Arabidopsis thaliana: one gene and its partners. The protein of the gene in region 1 interacts with the protein of each later gene in a pairwise test. Each region holds a gene or a part of one and is shown on either strand. Other genes may lie near its edges.

Region 1 (5,343 bases):
AGATACCAAAAAACGTGTTTATAAACTCTAAACGATAAACTGATCATCCTCACATCAAAAACATGACGGCATTGAGAAGAACAATCTCCATCATTTTCGTTTTCTATCTCTCATGTTAGCTTCTCACTCAGTCACTCTATATACTACATATCTCTTACATTTTGATTAATCGATCTATAAGACCTAATAAAATATGGTATGTGTTTGCAATTAATAGGTACGTTGTTCGTGAATATCTTTGGAGTTCAAGCCAGAAATTTATGCAAGACAGATGAAGATTGTGTGTTGCGATGTCAAGATCCAGGTGCGAACTGTATTCTTGGAATATGCCATTGTTCGCGCCAACAAGTTGAGACTGAGCTGACCAAGGTGATAAGATGCAAGACTGATCGTGATTGTCCTGATTCTCATCAATGCCCTAAAGATTATTATTATGCTTGCCTTAATAATGGAGAATGTACTTGTATCTCTGTTTGAGAAACCTTAAACCACTCTAACAAATAAAAGAGAAACCTTAAACCATGATTGTTCAGATTCTCATCAATGCCCTCTATTCAATATACTAAACCTTTAAATAGAACTAAAGCTCACCCTATATACAATATTCAAAGAAAATAATAGGGTGGGTTAAACCGCCAGCTGGATGCTTGAAGATTAACACGGATGGTGCGTCACGTGGGAATCCGGGGCTGGCAACCGCTGGAGGAGTGCTACAGGATAATGAGGGGCGATGGTGTGGCGGTTTCTCTTTGAATATTGGGAGAAGCTCGGCACCAATGGCGGAACTGTGGGGAGCATATTACGGTCTCTACTTAGCTTGGGAGAGGAAATCATCACATATAGAGTTGGAAGTAGACTCGGAGATAGTAGTTGGTTTTTTGAAGACAGGGATAAGTGATCATCATCCACTGTCTTTCCTGGTACGTTTGTGCCATGGCTTCATATCGAAAGATTGGAGAGTCCGAATTTTTCACGTGTATAGGGAAGCTAATCGTTTTGCTGATGGATTAGCGAACTATGTTTTTTCTTTACCACTTGGGTTTCATTTTGTTCCGAATGTTGTTGATTTATTTTGGAAAGAGGATAACCTTGGGGTAACATGTCCAAGGCAAATCCCAGTCCATTAGGTTTGTTTTCTTAAGTTACTTTGAATAGAACGGGAGGCTCCGCGGCCCGATCGCTTACCAAAAAAAAATATTCAAAAAAAATAATTATAAATATAAAAATCAAAAAATATATTATAAAATCAGAACGTTAAACAGAAACATCCATGTGAAAATCAATATAATGTTAAATCATAAATAGAAGTTAAACATAAATATTCATTCAAAAAAATATAAATCTTTATAACTATGTATATGAAGTCCAAAAATATAAATCTTTATAATTATGTATATGAAAAAGTTGAAGAAAAGTGTAAACGAATGAAGCCTTTTAAATCAGTAAATGGCTTCATTTTTTTCTCTCCCTTGTTGAACATTTGTGCATGTTTATTTGGTTTGAGTTATGTGTAATTTTTTTGTCCTTTATGTAGCACTCAGTTTCAGTTTCGGTTAAGACCTATTTCAATCTATACAATTTTTGTCATACTTTTTTTACACCAACTTTGATACTCTTAACATGAACGTGTTTTGGTGTGGCAAATTTTTATTCCCATCATATCGATCTCTAATTTGTTTAACAAAAATTAATAAGAAACTTTTATTCGACCTAATTTTTACTAGCACGGAACAAATTTATATATATGCACTTGGAATGACGTAATTGAATATATGAATGGAAGTTAGGATACCAAAATAACTATGTAGTATTTGAATCTTACTAGCTCACTCGATGAGAATGGAAGTAGGGGTACCAAAATAAAAAATTTGGTCCACCACAACCAGATTGGTAAAATTCGACCGGACATTTATTCCGGTTAGATCTCAAAAACAATATTAAATAAATACCCAATAAGGAAAGTCGAAATTAATGCGTTTGATAAAAGATGATCGTCTGAATTAGATACGCACTAAAACATCAAAGAGTCACTCTAAACTCATCTCTCTCGCCGAATTCTCCCCAACAATTTCCGCCGGAAACAAATTCTCAGATTCCGGTAACTCTAAAACTATGTCATCGGATATTCCGTGCTGCGGAACCACGTTCTCGCTCTACGTCGTGATAATCATAGCTCTTGTAGCGTTCGCTGGCTTGATGGCTGGTTTAACTCTTGGTCTCATGTCTCTCGGTTTAGTCGACCTCGAAGTTCTCATCAAATCTGGCCGTCCTCAAGATCGAATCAACGCCGGTGAGTGCTTCAACTTGATGACGATTCTGTTGAATTTTGAAGATTCTGTTCTTTAGCTGATTTTATGATTTTTAATTGTACATAGCAATTGAAGAACATGTGTATTTGATTGTTAGGTAAGATATTTCCAGTAGTGAAGAATCAGCATCTGTTGCTATGTACACTTTTGATCGGAAACTCTATGGCTATGGAGGTGATACTTGATTTTTTGGTTTCTATGTATTTGAAGCAGAGACTTGTATATATAATGGTGTTGATGATCTCTTTTTATTGTAGGCTTTACCAATATTTTTGGATAAAATTGTGCCTCCTTGGTTAGCTATTCTTCTTTCAGTGACTCTTATACTGGTGTTTGGAGAGGTTTTATATCTGTTACCTATAGTTTTGATATACTTTTGTTTTCCATTTTTACAGTTTGTGATTATAGTTTCTCTGCTGTTGAGTATCTGCAGATAATGCCACAAGCAGTTTGTACTCGATACGGGCTTAAGGTTGGAGCGATAATGGCTCCTTTTGTTCGTGTTCTTCTTGTACTGTTCTTCCCAATTTCATATCCAATCAGTAAGGTAGAGAGTCAGATTTTCTGTTTTGAAAAATCAGCTTGTGTAATCCCTTTTCTGGCTTGATTGAAATGCTCGGCTAAATCTTGATGTTTCTCTGTTTTGGTAAACATTGTTGCTTCAGGTTCTTGATTGGATGTTGGGTAAGGGACATGGAGTTCTTTTACGGAGAGCAGAGCTAAAGACATTTGTGAATTTCCATGGAAATGAGGTATGCAGCTAGTGATGTTTGCTATGACCTTGGAATTGAAAACTGAAGCTGTGTTGTCCTCCATATTAAATAGTTCCAGATGTGTCGCTGAACCGTTGTGTCTCTTAGAGCCAACTTTTCTGACAGACTTTTGTATATAATTCTTGTTTACTAGGCTGGGAAAGGTGGAGATCTAACAACCGATGAGACTTCAATCATCACAGGTGCACTTGAATTAACTGAAAAGACGGCAAAAGATGCAATGACTCCCATATCGAATGCATTTTCCCTTGAGCTTGATACACCTCTTAATTTGTGGGTTCTTTTTTTTTTGTTTTGCTTCCATCATCTTCTATTTACTCTTATTCAGTTTACTTAAATATTTTGACCTTATAATCTGCTTTCATCCACAATACAGGGAAACTTTAAATACAATTATGTCAGTTGGTCATAGCAGAGTTCCAGTTTATTTCAGAAATCCCACACATATAATTGGGCTCATTCTGGTACCTATCTTTCATATGGACTTTGTTTTTGTATTGTCTAGCTTCACAGCATGTAATGTCCCCTTTTGCTGATGCAGGTTAAAAATCTATTGGCAGTTGATGCCAGAAAGGAAGTTCCTCTGAGAAAAATGTCCATGAGAAAAATTCCACGGTAAATGACTCTCTAAAGCTAACTTTCTTTCTTTACGACCAGGATTTAATGCATACACAGAGTTCATGTTTATACTATTTATTTCCTCCAGTGTCTCTGAGACCATGCCACTATATGATATCTTAAACGAGTTCCAGAAGGGTCACAGTCACATAGCAGTTGTTTACAAGGATCTTGACGAGCAGGAGCAATCTCCCGAAACAAGTGAAAATGGTATTGAGCGCAGAAAAAACAAGAAAACGAAAGACGAACTTTTTAAGGACAGTTGTAGGAAACCAAAAGCTCAGTTTGAGGTATCGGAGAAGGAAGGTGTGTCTCGGCATAACTTAGCGACGTTCCATAAATAAACATGAGAACACATGTTAGCCTAATTTTCTTTGGAATTGTAGTATTCAAAATTGAAACCGGAGATGCAAAATCCGGCAAGAGTGAGAACGGTGAGGAGCAGCAAGGGTCAGGGAAAACAAGTCTATTGGCTGCTCCAGCTAAGAAGCGACATAGAGGCTGTTCGTTCTGCATTTTGGACATTGAGAATACTCCCATACCTGATTTTCCTACCAATGAGGAGGTTGTAGGAGTTATCACCATGGAGGATGTTATCGAAGAGCTTCTTCAGGTAACTCAAACCGAAGCATGAGCATCTGCTTTAGTTATTAGCATTAGAGAAGTAAAGAATCATAGGCATTCTTTTTTTGCTCTGATTTTTCAGGAAGAGATCCTTGACGAAACCGATGAGTATGTGAACATCCACAACAGGATAAGAGTCAACATGCATGCTTCTCCAGAGAATCTACCAAGCGTGATAACCTCAATCACGCAATCATCATCGGGTTCCACTAGTCCCAACCAAACATCTCATATGGCCACACCAGATTCAAGTCCTACAACAAAACCATCAAATTCAAGTCCTACAAGAAAACCTTCAGTATCGAGTCCTACGAGAGAGCCTTCAGATTCTTCACACTCCATGGCTCCAAAACATGAAGAGTCCACCCAAACTTTATGATGATCATATATGAGTGAAGATAGATTAGCTATGTATCCTTAAAAGATGACTTCTTTAACAGAATCGTTTGTGTGTTTGAGATTAAGACTGGTTAATAGTTTCTTTGTAATGAAAAGGATGGATCTTTTACCAAAAGAAAGAAAAAAAGCTAATACTAAACTACAAAAGTTCTTCTTGGTGGTAACATTCTACTTTAACAAAACAAAGAAACGACAGAGCCTTTTGGCCAGACAGAGTTACTGCAATCTCTGCTACAAGACACTCATAGATAATTACTGATTTAGTACTTATGAGAGACAGAATTTACCAGCTAAACTTCACTTCACAACTAAAGAACGTAACCTCATAGATAAGCACCAAAAGACATGACCATTGCTTTTACCCTAACTCCATTGATCTTCTTCTTCTTTTTCTTGATCTTCATCTTCATCTTCTTCTTCTTCCTCTTCCCATTCTATCTTCGCATTTGGACCATCATAGATTTTGGACTTCAGCAGCTTTGGTTCGTCAACATTCAGATACTCAACATGGTCAGCAAAACGGTAGAAACTACTGCAATCATCTACAAAGACGCGGACTCTGCTACGCCTGTCGAATGTTCCATGGTGTTCTTCAAAGCCTTGAATTTCAGTACATTGGA
Region 2 (4,330 bases), on another chromosome or scaffold:
GCTTTTACTTTTGGAACAAAAAAAGTCTTCTACCACTTGGTTCACATGCACAACTCAGTTGTGAGTCTTGTGACTCGTTAATATATAAGCCGGTTCTTAAAACATAGAACGAAAAAAAAGAGGAGAATGTCTTGTAAAAGGAAACAACAATCAAAGATGCATAATCATGTGATCCATGTTCAACGAAGAGAAACCATTTTGATCGAGACATCTCTTTCGTCCACATATAGCTAAATAGACCTTAATAAGAAGATGACACATCAACTTCCCTTGAATCCATTCATGTAAAACACCATTATCGCACAAGACCAAAACTCTTTATCTCGTTAAATTTATGGTTACTACATGAATCTTCTTACCTCACATATCATGAAGCTCATATGAATGTGTTAAGACTCGCAGACACTATGTTGGATGTAAAAGATGCCGTTGGAGATACATTTGTACGGCTAATAGCTCCAAAGTCCAACCACGAAGAAACTCGTAGATGGTTACCGGGGTAGAGAATTGTGCTTTCTTTGTGAAAAAGGTTATCCCAAAGAAGAGGAGTTTTTTCTTACAAAACAGTATGCAATCACATATTCCATGTTACTTGCATCTCAAGTCACTTGTTGCGTACTCCTCAATGTCTTGTTTACTCCGCAGAATTGCTACCAGTCAACATCCGACCCCTACTGTTCAAGGCTTGATTTAGCATGTTACAAAAATATTTATTCACTGTTGTATATCCAAGTTTTGATTTCATTGTTTTTTTTTAATATAAATATAATTAGCAGCTATAGTATATGAAGTGAATTTAACAACTATAACATGTGTATAAATCTGAGATTTCAAATATCAGCTACAGTAGAAACTCTATAAATGAATAATATTGGGATCATGAAATTTTATTAATTTATAGTGATATTAATTTATCCTATAAATTAATAAATATTATTTTATAGGATAAATTAATATTTATCAATTTATAGAAATATTTAAGCAAAATACAACACTATTTTCTTTCAAAATAGAATAAATGTCAATAGACAACTCGAATATCTAGGTGCAAATGAAGCATACTTAAAAATTCAGAGTTTTTAGAAGAAATTATGATTTCTGTCTATAATGTTGGTGAAGAACTTGAAGACGATAATGTGAAACTTTCTGAAATAGTGACACGTAAGGAAGCAATTATCGCGTCTAGAACTCTTCATAACTTTTGTATGTATATCGAAAAGACAACACCAAGAGTTTTTGATGCAATAAAAAAAATTAGAGATGAACTTCAAAGAGATTCAAATTTTAAGAAAAGACAAATATAACGAAAGTCATATTATACTAGATTATTTTTAAAAGTATGTTTAAGATTAGTAATTATTAATTTATGATATTACTGGACCATATTTTGACATAGAGATTTCAAGAAAATTATTATCTTATTATCTTATCGATTTTGGTCAATTTTTACATTGGTCCGAATTGGAACCGACATAATATATTAATTTATCATATTTATTAATTTATCGAATATTAATTTATAGAGTTTCTACTGTAATTTCAATTTAAGTGGTTGAGGGTCTTTTTAAGACAATAATTAGTTAGTGGTTTCTCGGAAAACTGTTGAGAAGAAGAGGTCCTTCGTTTAATTTACATTAAGGTCCAAAACTATCTTATATTTACTAATTTCAACCTCAATGTTTGGATTTGGTCAGAAACCAAATTTATTAGGTTTCCAAAATCCAGTTTCGCTCCTCCTTGCTCTAGCTCTGTTATCTGATTCGTAACCATTGATGAAATGCGAGTTCTCGACGAAATTGCAGAGTCACCATTTCTGATTTCACCGCTAAACCCTAATTCGACAGCCAATGGATATAGATGGGTCGATAAGTGCCATGGATTCTTACATAACACGGTTCTCGTTGCGGCTTCTCTCTTCTTCGTCGCTTACTTAGCTTACGAAGCGAAGAAGAGTCTGTCTAAACTCTCGAATCGGAGATCTTATATCATGATTGCTTATTATGGTTGTCTTTGGCTTGTTAGCTTGCTCAATCTTGCTTGGTGCTGTCTCCAGGTTTGTTAATAAAATATCACAACTTTGATTGAATTACAAAGATTTTTTTAAGAAAGATCAAAACTTTGATTGAATGATGAGTATTTTAAGACTATTTCTAGGTTCTGTGAAACTCAAATTAGAAACTTTTTGGTCATAAGGTTAGGAATGAAATCATAGTATTTAGTGTTTCTGGATAGGTTATTGAGTAATGAATGAATGTTTCAGAAAGATGACAACTTTGTTGATGAATGAGCATATTAAAGACTATTCTAGGTTGGTGAAACTTGAATTTGGTCAGAAGTAAGTATTTAATGTTACTGTATTGGTATAAGATGTGGGTTGTTAGGAAGATCATAATTGTAATCACGGTTTATGGAAATGAGCTAGTGATCCTTGTATCTATTTACATATTCCTAGGTTAGCTTTTGATTTGATTATCATGTTTCCGGATTTGATTATAGGGTTGGGAATGTACTCCTGGGAAAGAAGTTGTTTGGAATCTGTTAACTTTGTTCACAACATCTGGAATGTTGTTTCTGGAAGTAAGCTTGGTGGCTTTTCTCTTCCAAGGAAACTATGCAAGCGGTGCAGAAGCATTAACTAGAACGTTCCTAATCTCGGGTTTTATTGTTGCTCTTGATTTGCTTCTCAAGGTATCTCTACTTTGTCTACTCTTATACCTTCTCATTTCTGAACAAATCTTAGATATGGTGAAATGACAAGTTTAGGATCTTCCTTTTGCTTTTGCCAAACTTTCTGATATGAATTAGGCCTTACCATTTCTGTAGTCCTTACGGGTTTTACCTTCATTCAGGCAATTTTTCTCTTTGGATTTGGAGTGCCATTGTTTATTGACAACAATGAAAATGGAAAAACGTTCAAATGGGGCTTATGGATCATTCATAAGCTTCTACTCACTGGCGTTTATGGGATGGTGTTCTTGATGTACAACTCTAGGTGGAGAGAAAAATTGCCTGGTAAGTTGATCAGACGCTTCTATCTTCCCATAATAGCCTCCACTGGTTTCTTTCTATTTATCATCATTCATGTCTTCTTGTTTCTAACAGCAAGGCCTGCATTCTACAACTACATAATCATCATGTTCGCCTTATACAGCCTTTACCTAGTTGCATCTGCGTTTACCGCAAACAACGCGCATTTTGGTTTCTGGTAACTCTTATCTGAAACCATCCCAACAGAGAATATTGTCTTATGTTCAGCTTGTATCTGCCTTTTAACTCAAAATACTTGCAGGTTATATGGGATCATGAGTGTTTGCTACCACGCATTATACCTTCCTCTTCTTTACATAACGTTCCTCGCAGACTTTTTCCAGGTAATCATCATCATTCATCTTCTCTCACTGACTCTCTCACTCTCTCTAAAATGCAAATGGGTTTGCTGCAGGAAGAAGATTTGAACTTGGAGAATGTATACTACTCAGAGATGAAGGATGCTGGATTTTTCGACTCTGATTGGGAATAGGACTAGGGTAACAAACATCTTCCTCATTTTCTCAATCTGTAAATACACGTTGGGTAGGATCTCCTAGAAGTCATGGCTGCTTTTTCCGGCTTTGGCGGGTTACATTTTAGGGTCTAGTCTTTTGTATGTCTGTACTTTTTCCTCATGTTTCTTTCTCTTTTATAAATCCAAAATGTCTTGTGAATCTCTTTGTTCCTTAAGCTGATAATCTAAAAGAAAGTTTTGTAGTAGTCTAAAGATTGACATAATAAACCACTAGGGCAAATTAAGACATACAACAAAGCATGACACAATTGAGCAAACGGCAATAACAAAAGACAAAAGCCTTTGGTTGTTTCCTTAACTAAGCAGTCTTCTCTTGGACGAGTTCTTCAATGAGTTCAGCAGCCTGTTGGACTGTTGCAATCTCCTTTGCTCTCTCTTCCGCCATTGTTATCCCGAACTCTTCCTCCAAACCCATCACTATCTCAACCTGCAAAAAGAAAGCAGAATTTGTTGATGATGATGTCCAATGAGCTCTGAGATACAATACAATGAGATGATATTTACCGTGTCGAGAGAATCAGCTCCAAGCTCGGTAAATTTAGTTCCGGCAGTGACTTTTTGATCATCGGTGAGCGACAATTGCTTCTTGACAATCTCAGACACTTTCTCTACTGTCTCTTGCTTGACCTTAAACCACATATATACCACATTACCAAATATATTCAAACAGCCTCAAGAAAGTCGAAGAAATATAGAGTTAAATCAACATACTGCACAAGAAACTGCGAGACGAGCAGGCATCAAACGTCGTAGGCTGAAGGAGAG
Region 3 (5,177 bases), on another chromosome or scaffold:
AATGGATAAACCAGAAAGATATTGGGTCAAACACAGAAACTTCAACGCAAAACATCTTCTTGACCTCATTCGTATGAGCTTCTTACCTATGGATGGATACGAAGATTTCCAACTCACTAAGGGTAAATCTAGAAAGAAATCATCCTCCGGTCTTACATTGCTATTGTCGGCTACAAGACTTTCTCTCCAAGGAATAGATTTCAGTTTAAGGAGTGGTGCAGATTCGATGTTAGATATAAGGTTAAAGAAGAACAGGCTTCAAATACCAGTGTTAAGATTGGATGGGTTCATTATCTCAATCTTGCTCAATTGCGTCGCCTTTGAACAATTTTACGCAAAGAGTACCAACCACATAACAAGCTATGTGGTTTTCATGGGATGCCTTCTAAACGGCAAGGAAGATGCCACATTCTTAAGTCGTCGCCGGATCATAGAGAACTACTTTGGCAGCGAGAAGGAGGTATCAAAGTTCTTCAAAACTATATGTAAAGATGTAGTGTTTGACATACATGCAAGTTATTTACGGAATGTGTTTGTGGAAATTAACGAGAACACCTCAAAATGGTACTCAATATGTCGAAGTTTTTTACTGTCACCAAGAAATTTTGTGGCATTGCGCTTTCGTCCAATTTATCGATTCTAAATACCATTCTTCTACCTTAGCAACAGCAACAGCAAAACCGCATGATGGAACGTCCTCCAGGCAAAGCAAACATGCTCGAGCTTATGTAGAAACAATGGAATTAAAGTCGTTTTTATCTTCTACAGAAACATCATTGTTCCCTGTTTTTTATCAGTTGTGTAACTTGTGTTATTGCTATCTTTTTCGTTTTATGATGTTATCCTATATATGTATTTAAGTATTTTGTTACTCTTGTTAATTTGCATGAAATAAAGCTTTTCTACTTTCCTTTGATGAAATAAATTTGACTTTGCTTTGTCTTCTCGATTATCTTGCGCTATGAGAAGTCTTGAACTTGTCATGCAGCTGCCCTGACTTAGGGTGAACGGGATATAACTTCATGCTAATTTTCAGTGAAGTCCAAAACTTTATCGAAGTCGAGTCTCTATTTTTCTTATATCAAAATTCATCATTTTCATTTTATAAAGAGAGAGTTGTTGCATTTGATTTGAATATAGGACAAAAAAACTCATTTTTTTAGTGAAATGGATTTGAACGATAACCTTTTTAATTTAACTTAATTTTAATCGATAATTATTATTAATATATAATCATAAAACATATACACAAAAGAAAATAAAAGTAAAAGTGGTAAACAAGCCAACTAGGATGTTGATGATTACTATGTAATAAAATGGTAAAGTATGATACATGTTGATATTTACTAAACAAAATTATTGATTACATATTGAATTAATAGATAGATAAAAGAAAAGATTAGGTGAAGTGTTAAAAAAATAAAATCATAGTACATAGTCTAAAACAACTGGCACATTATTAAAAAAACTACGTACAAACCAATCAAAACAAAAAGTTAATAATACACATCATGTTCCCACGGTGACGTTCCAACAGAAACACATGAGCCCAACGCATAAACAAAACAAAAAAAAAGACAAACCAATGAAACCAATTTTAACTATTTAAATTTCAAAAAGAAAAGAAAAAACACTTGAGGGTCAATGATGTAAGGAGAAAATGGGTTAGCAATTATCCATTGGATCTATGCTTGCTTGTACCTCACAAACCGCAAAATCTTTCTTGAAGTCGTCTTAGGTTGACCAACTAAAAAAAGCGAGGGATACTTTGGTTTCGTCCATTTTTCACAATATGGTGAATTTAAGAAAGAAGTTTGAGATGAAACAGGCGAATCAGCCGGGTCGCGTCCCAAATTATTTCAGGAATAAATATCATGGATATGATGACGATATGCCGAATTTGCTACCTACGTTCATCAAATTGTTGGATACTGAGAAGGACGAAGACGGTGCCGGCTTGAACGCTGCAGAGCAAATCGATAGGGAGTTAAAAAGCCGAAAATGTGATATTCTTAAGTTCCGCAACTTGACGATTCTCGAGCTTCCTCACTTGAACGAGTTTCTGTTTTCTACGGAGCTCAATCCCCCGATCAGTGACCAGGTGATATTTCTTTCTTTTTTTTCTGTTCCAAAATTAACCAAAGAAATAGGTTGGTCGTTACTTCTGGTTTGTTTTTGGAAATAAGAACACATTTTGTAAGAGTTAGGTTTCTGTTCTTCAGGTTCGTCATCGTGACATGAATGCTCCACTATCGCATTACTTCATTCACACTAGCCTCAAATCCTACTTTACGGGAAATAATGTCTTTGGGAGATTATACAGCATTGAGCCCATCATTGATGCACTTAAACAAGGTGTGAGAGTGGTTGAACTAGATCTTTTGCCTTTTGGTAAAGACGGCATATGCGTTAGGCCAAAATGGTATATTCTGTTCTGCCTCTTTACTTCATGAAAACTTATACAGCTTGCTTTGAGCTTCTGGTTTAATTATGAACTTGATAGGAACTTTGAAAAGCCTCTAGAATTGCAAGAGTGTTTGGATGCTATCAAACAGCATGCCTTTACCCCCACGAGGAGTTATCCCGTGATAATTACGATCAAGGACAGCTTGAAACCGGATCTTCAATCCAAAGTTACTCAGGTTTATAATGTTCTTTTTCTCCTCGTTTTTCTCATATTATTACGTATTCTAATTCTTTTGGTATGATATATTGTTGCATATGTAGATGATAGATCAGACATTTGGTGATATGGTATACCACGAAGACCCCCAACAAAGCTTGGAGGAATTTCCTTCACCAGCAGAACTACAAAATAAGATATTAATATCACGAAGACCACCAACAAAATTGTTATATGCTAAAGCCGTTGAGAATGGGGTTGAGCTTGAGATACAAGAGGGGTCAACAGATAAGAATTACCAGAGTGTTGTTGGCTTTCATGCAGTGGAACCAAGAGGCATGCTACAAAAAGCATTAACAGACGACGTCCAACAACCAGGATGGTACGAAAGAGATGTTATAAGGTATTGTTGAGTTAAATAAGTTTATACTACATACCAAAACCCTTACTCAACATGTTGAGAGTAGTTGCCTCTCAAATACTAAAATATAACTGATTAGGAAATTCTTGACAATAAACAGCTTCACCCAAAATAAATTCTTGCGGACACGTCCAAAAAAACGCAACTTGTTGAGCAACCCCCCTTATAAACCTCAGAGAGCTTGGATGCACGGTGCACAAATGATTGCACTAAGCAGGCAGGTGTGACTCTAAACGTTTCTTTCTCTCTCTCTCTCTCTCTCTCTCTTTATCTGGTTTCTCTTGCTCATAACCAGTACTGGTTGCACAAGCATGTACGCATTGTGTGGAGAGCTTACCTATTGGAATCAGTTTCATGAATACATTATGTTGTACTACAGGACGACAAAGAAAAACTTTGGTTGATGCAAGGGATGTTTAGAGCAAATGGAGGGTGCGGTTACGTCAAGAAGCCGAATTTCCTTTTGAATGCAGGTTCTAGTGGAGTTTTCTATCCAACAGAGAATCCAGTGGTGGTGAAGACATTAAAGGTTTGTTTGTCATCCTACAACAATTATACTATGGTTCTATTTCTCACTTAGGATGGGTGATGACATTATATCTTGCAGGTCAAAATCTACATGGGAGATGGATGGATTGTGGACTTCAAGAAGCGGATAGGTCGACTGTCTAAGCCGGACTTATACGTTAGGGTACAAAAATCTAAATCAGGAGATGATACTTTAATTTCTTGGGTATGGAAATGAGTTTGATTTTGGTTCTTTAATCGCAAATGCACAGATCAGTATTGCCGGTGTACCCCATGATGAGAAGATTATGAACACGACAGTGAAAAACAACGAATGGAAACCTACTTGGGGAGAAGAATTCACATTTCCCTTGACCTATCCTGACCTTGCTTTGATTAGTTTTGAAGTTTATGACTACGAAGTATCAACTCCAGATTATTTTTGTGGTCAGACTTGTCTACCGGTTTCTGAACTAATAGAAGGAATTCGTGCTGTTCCGCTCTATGATGAGCGAGGTAAGGCATGCAGCTCGACAATGCTGCTCACACGTTTTAAGTGGTCTTAGCGTACAAGTTTCTTTCTCATTACCAAGTGGCGGCTCTTGATCTAGTGGTGTTTCTTAAAACCTTTCAAAGTTACGCTTTCTAGGACCCCTAGTTCAAGTTCCACCTGGAAGGGGGAAAGGGTTTAGGCAAGCTTAGATTGTGATACGGAAATAAGGTATTTGGTCCAGAAAAACTTGGCATTGGCATTTTACTTTGGAGACGAAAATAAAGTTTTCTCTTTTTCCTGTTATTTGTTGTCACTTCAAGTTTCTTTCACTTTTATTTTTGAATTTCTTTTACTGAATTACTGTCTTTTTATTTCAAAAACTATTTTTCATTCTTCTGCAAGTTCTTCTCGAGCTTGGTTCAAAACATATACATTTTTTTGGGGGGCATACTTTCTTAGGTTCAGCCGTTCAGGGTAACAACTTTTGATGGAACTGAAACTTAGTGATGAAGTAAATTAGTCATTCTTCATTTTGTGGTCATGTTAAAAATATATTTGTAAAAGTAAAAATAAAAGCGGATCTAGTTCCGAGTACTCCAGCCTCCAGGTATCCTATTTTTCATAGCAGATCTTATTTGGTCTATTGGTTTTGGATTTTTTTCATAGTGGATCTAGTTCCAACATTGACAAATGTGGTGACAATGCTAGGCCACATGTCACTATTTGCTTGGTCATCTTCTGACCGTTAAGTTTTCATCATCTAGTGACTTTCTCGTTTTATGTCACATTGTTTTCCATTTTCCTAGATTATACGTAAAACTCGTGACTTTACCTCGGTCTTATCATTCATCAGAGTTTAAAAATAGTCACCGGCGATCTTTAATCGGAGAAATGTAGATTAAATAAACTTTAAGCTATAAGATTTTGCATTGTCAATGCAAACTAGAATATTGATATAATTAAATTCTTTAGACCAACAAAAACCACCAATGAAGTAAGAGTAATGATCCAATAAAATGATGTCGTACCTGAAAGACTCAAAGCTTGGGATAAGAACAAGAAAGTGCAAGAAGATGAGAGAGAGAAGCAAGAGGATAAGTAAAGAGTCAACGTTGGAAAAGGCTTAGACAGGA

What was found.
Region 2: the proteins of AT1G47330 (region 1) and Cand8 interact in a protein complementation assay, tested with the Arabidopsis thaliana proteins (one large-scale study listed by BioGRID).
Region 3: the proteins of AT1G47330 (region 1) and PLC9 interact in a protein complementation assay, tested with the Arabidopsis thaliana proteins (one large-scale study listed by BioGRID).

The regions. Positions count from the first base shown.
Region 1 is NC_003070.9:17,349,037-17,354,379, forward strand, and holds AT1G47330 (methyltransferase, putative (DUF21)), read left to right. Parts: upstream 1-1,985; 5' UTR 1,986-2,112; coding exon 2,113-2,290; intron 2,291-2,375; exon of another isoform or gene 2,376-2,406; coding exon 2,407-2,483; intron 2,484-2,566; coding exon 2,567-2,650; intron 2,651-2,742; coding exon 2,743-2,856; intron 2,857-2,974; coding exon 2,975-3,061; intron 3,062-3,215; coding exon 3,216-3,355; intron 3,356-3,458; coding exon 3,459-3,546; intron 3,547-3,623; coding exon 3,624-3,697; intron 3,698-3,788; coding exon 3,789-4,006; intron 4,007-4,086; coding exon 4,087-4,313; intron 4,314-4,406; coding exon 4,407-4,703; 3' UTR 4,704-4,839; downstream 4,840-5,343. Other genes in the region: AT1G47340 (F-box and associated interaction domains-containing protein), read right to left, coding at 5,087-5,343.
Region 2 is NC_003076.8:9,571,523-9,575,852, reverse strand, and holds Cand8 (Protein of unknown function, transmembrane-40), read left to right. Parts: upstream 1-1,717; 5' UTR 1,718-1,777; coding exon 1,778-2,053; intron 2,054-2,496; coding exon 2,497-2,688; intron 2,689-2,849; coding exon 2,850-3,012; intron 3,013-3,102; coding exon 3,103-3,205; intron 3,206-3,289; coding exon 3,290-3,371; intron 3,372-3,442; coding exon 3,443-3,520; 3' UTR 3,521-3,787; downstream 3,788-4,330. Other genes in the region: ACP5 (acyl carrier protein 5), read right to left, coding at 3,864-3,992, 4,070-4,192, 4,277-4,330. UniProt on the Arabidopsis thaliana protein: G-protein coupled receptor. Plays a role in plants and microbes interactions.
Region 3 is NC_003074.8:17,386,327-17,391,503, forward strand, and holds PLC9 (phosphatidylinositol-speciwc phospholipase C9), read left to right. Parts: upstream 1-1,556; 5' UTR 1,557-1,792; coding exon 1,793-2,101; intron 2,102-2,222; coding exon 2,223-2,422; intron 2,423-2,503; coding exon 2,504-2,642; intron 2,643-2,727; coding exon 2,728-3,026; intron 3,027-3,144; coding exon 3,145-3,265; intron 3,266-3,423; coding exon 3,424-3,573; intron 3,574-3,651; coding exon 3,652-3,735; intron 3,736-3,823; coding exon 3,824-4,117; 3' UTR 4,118-4,634; downstream 4,635-5,177. Other genes in the region: AT3G47210 (hypothetical protein (DUF247)), read left to right, coding at 1-643. UniProt on the Arabidopsis thaliana protein: The production of the second messenger molecules diacylglycerol (DAG) and inositol 1,4,5-trisphosphate (IP3) is mediated by activated phosphatidylinositol-specific phospholipase C enzymes.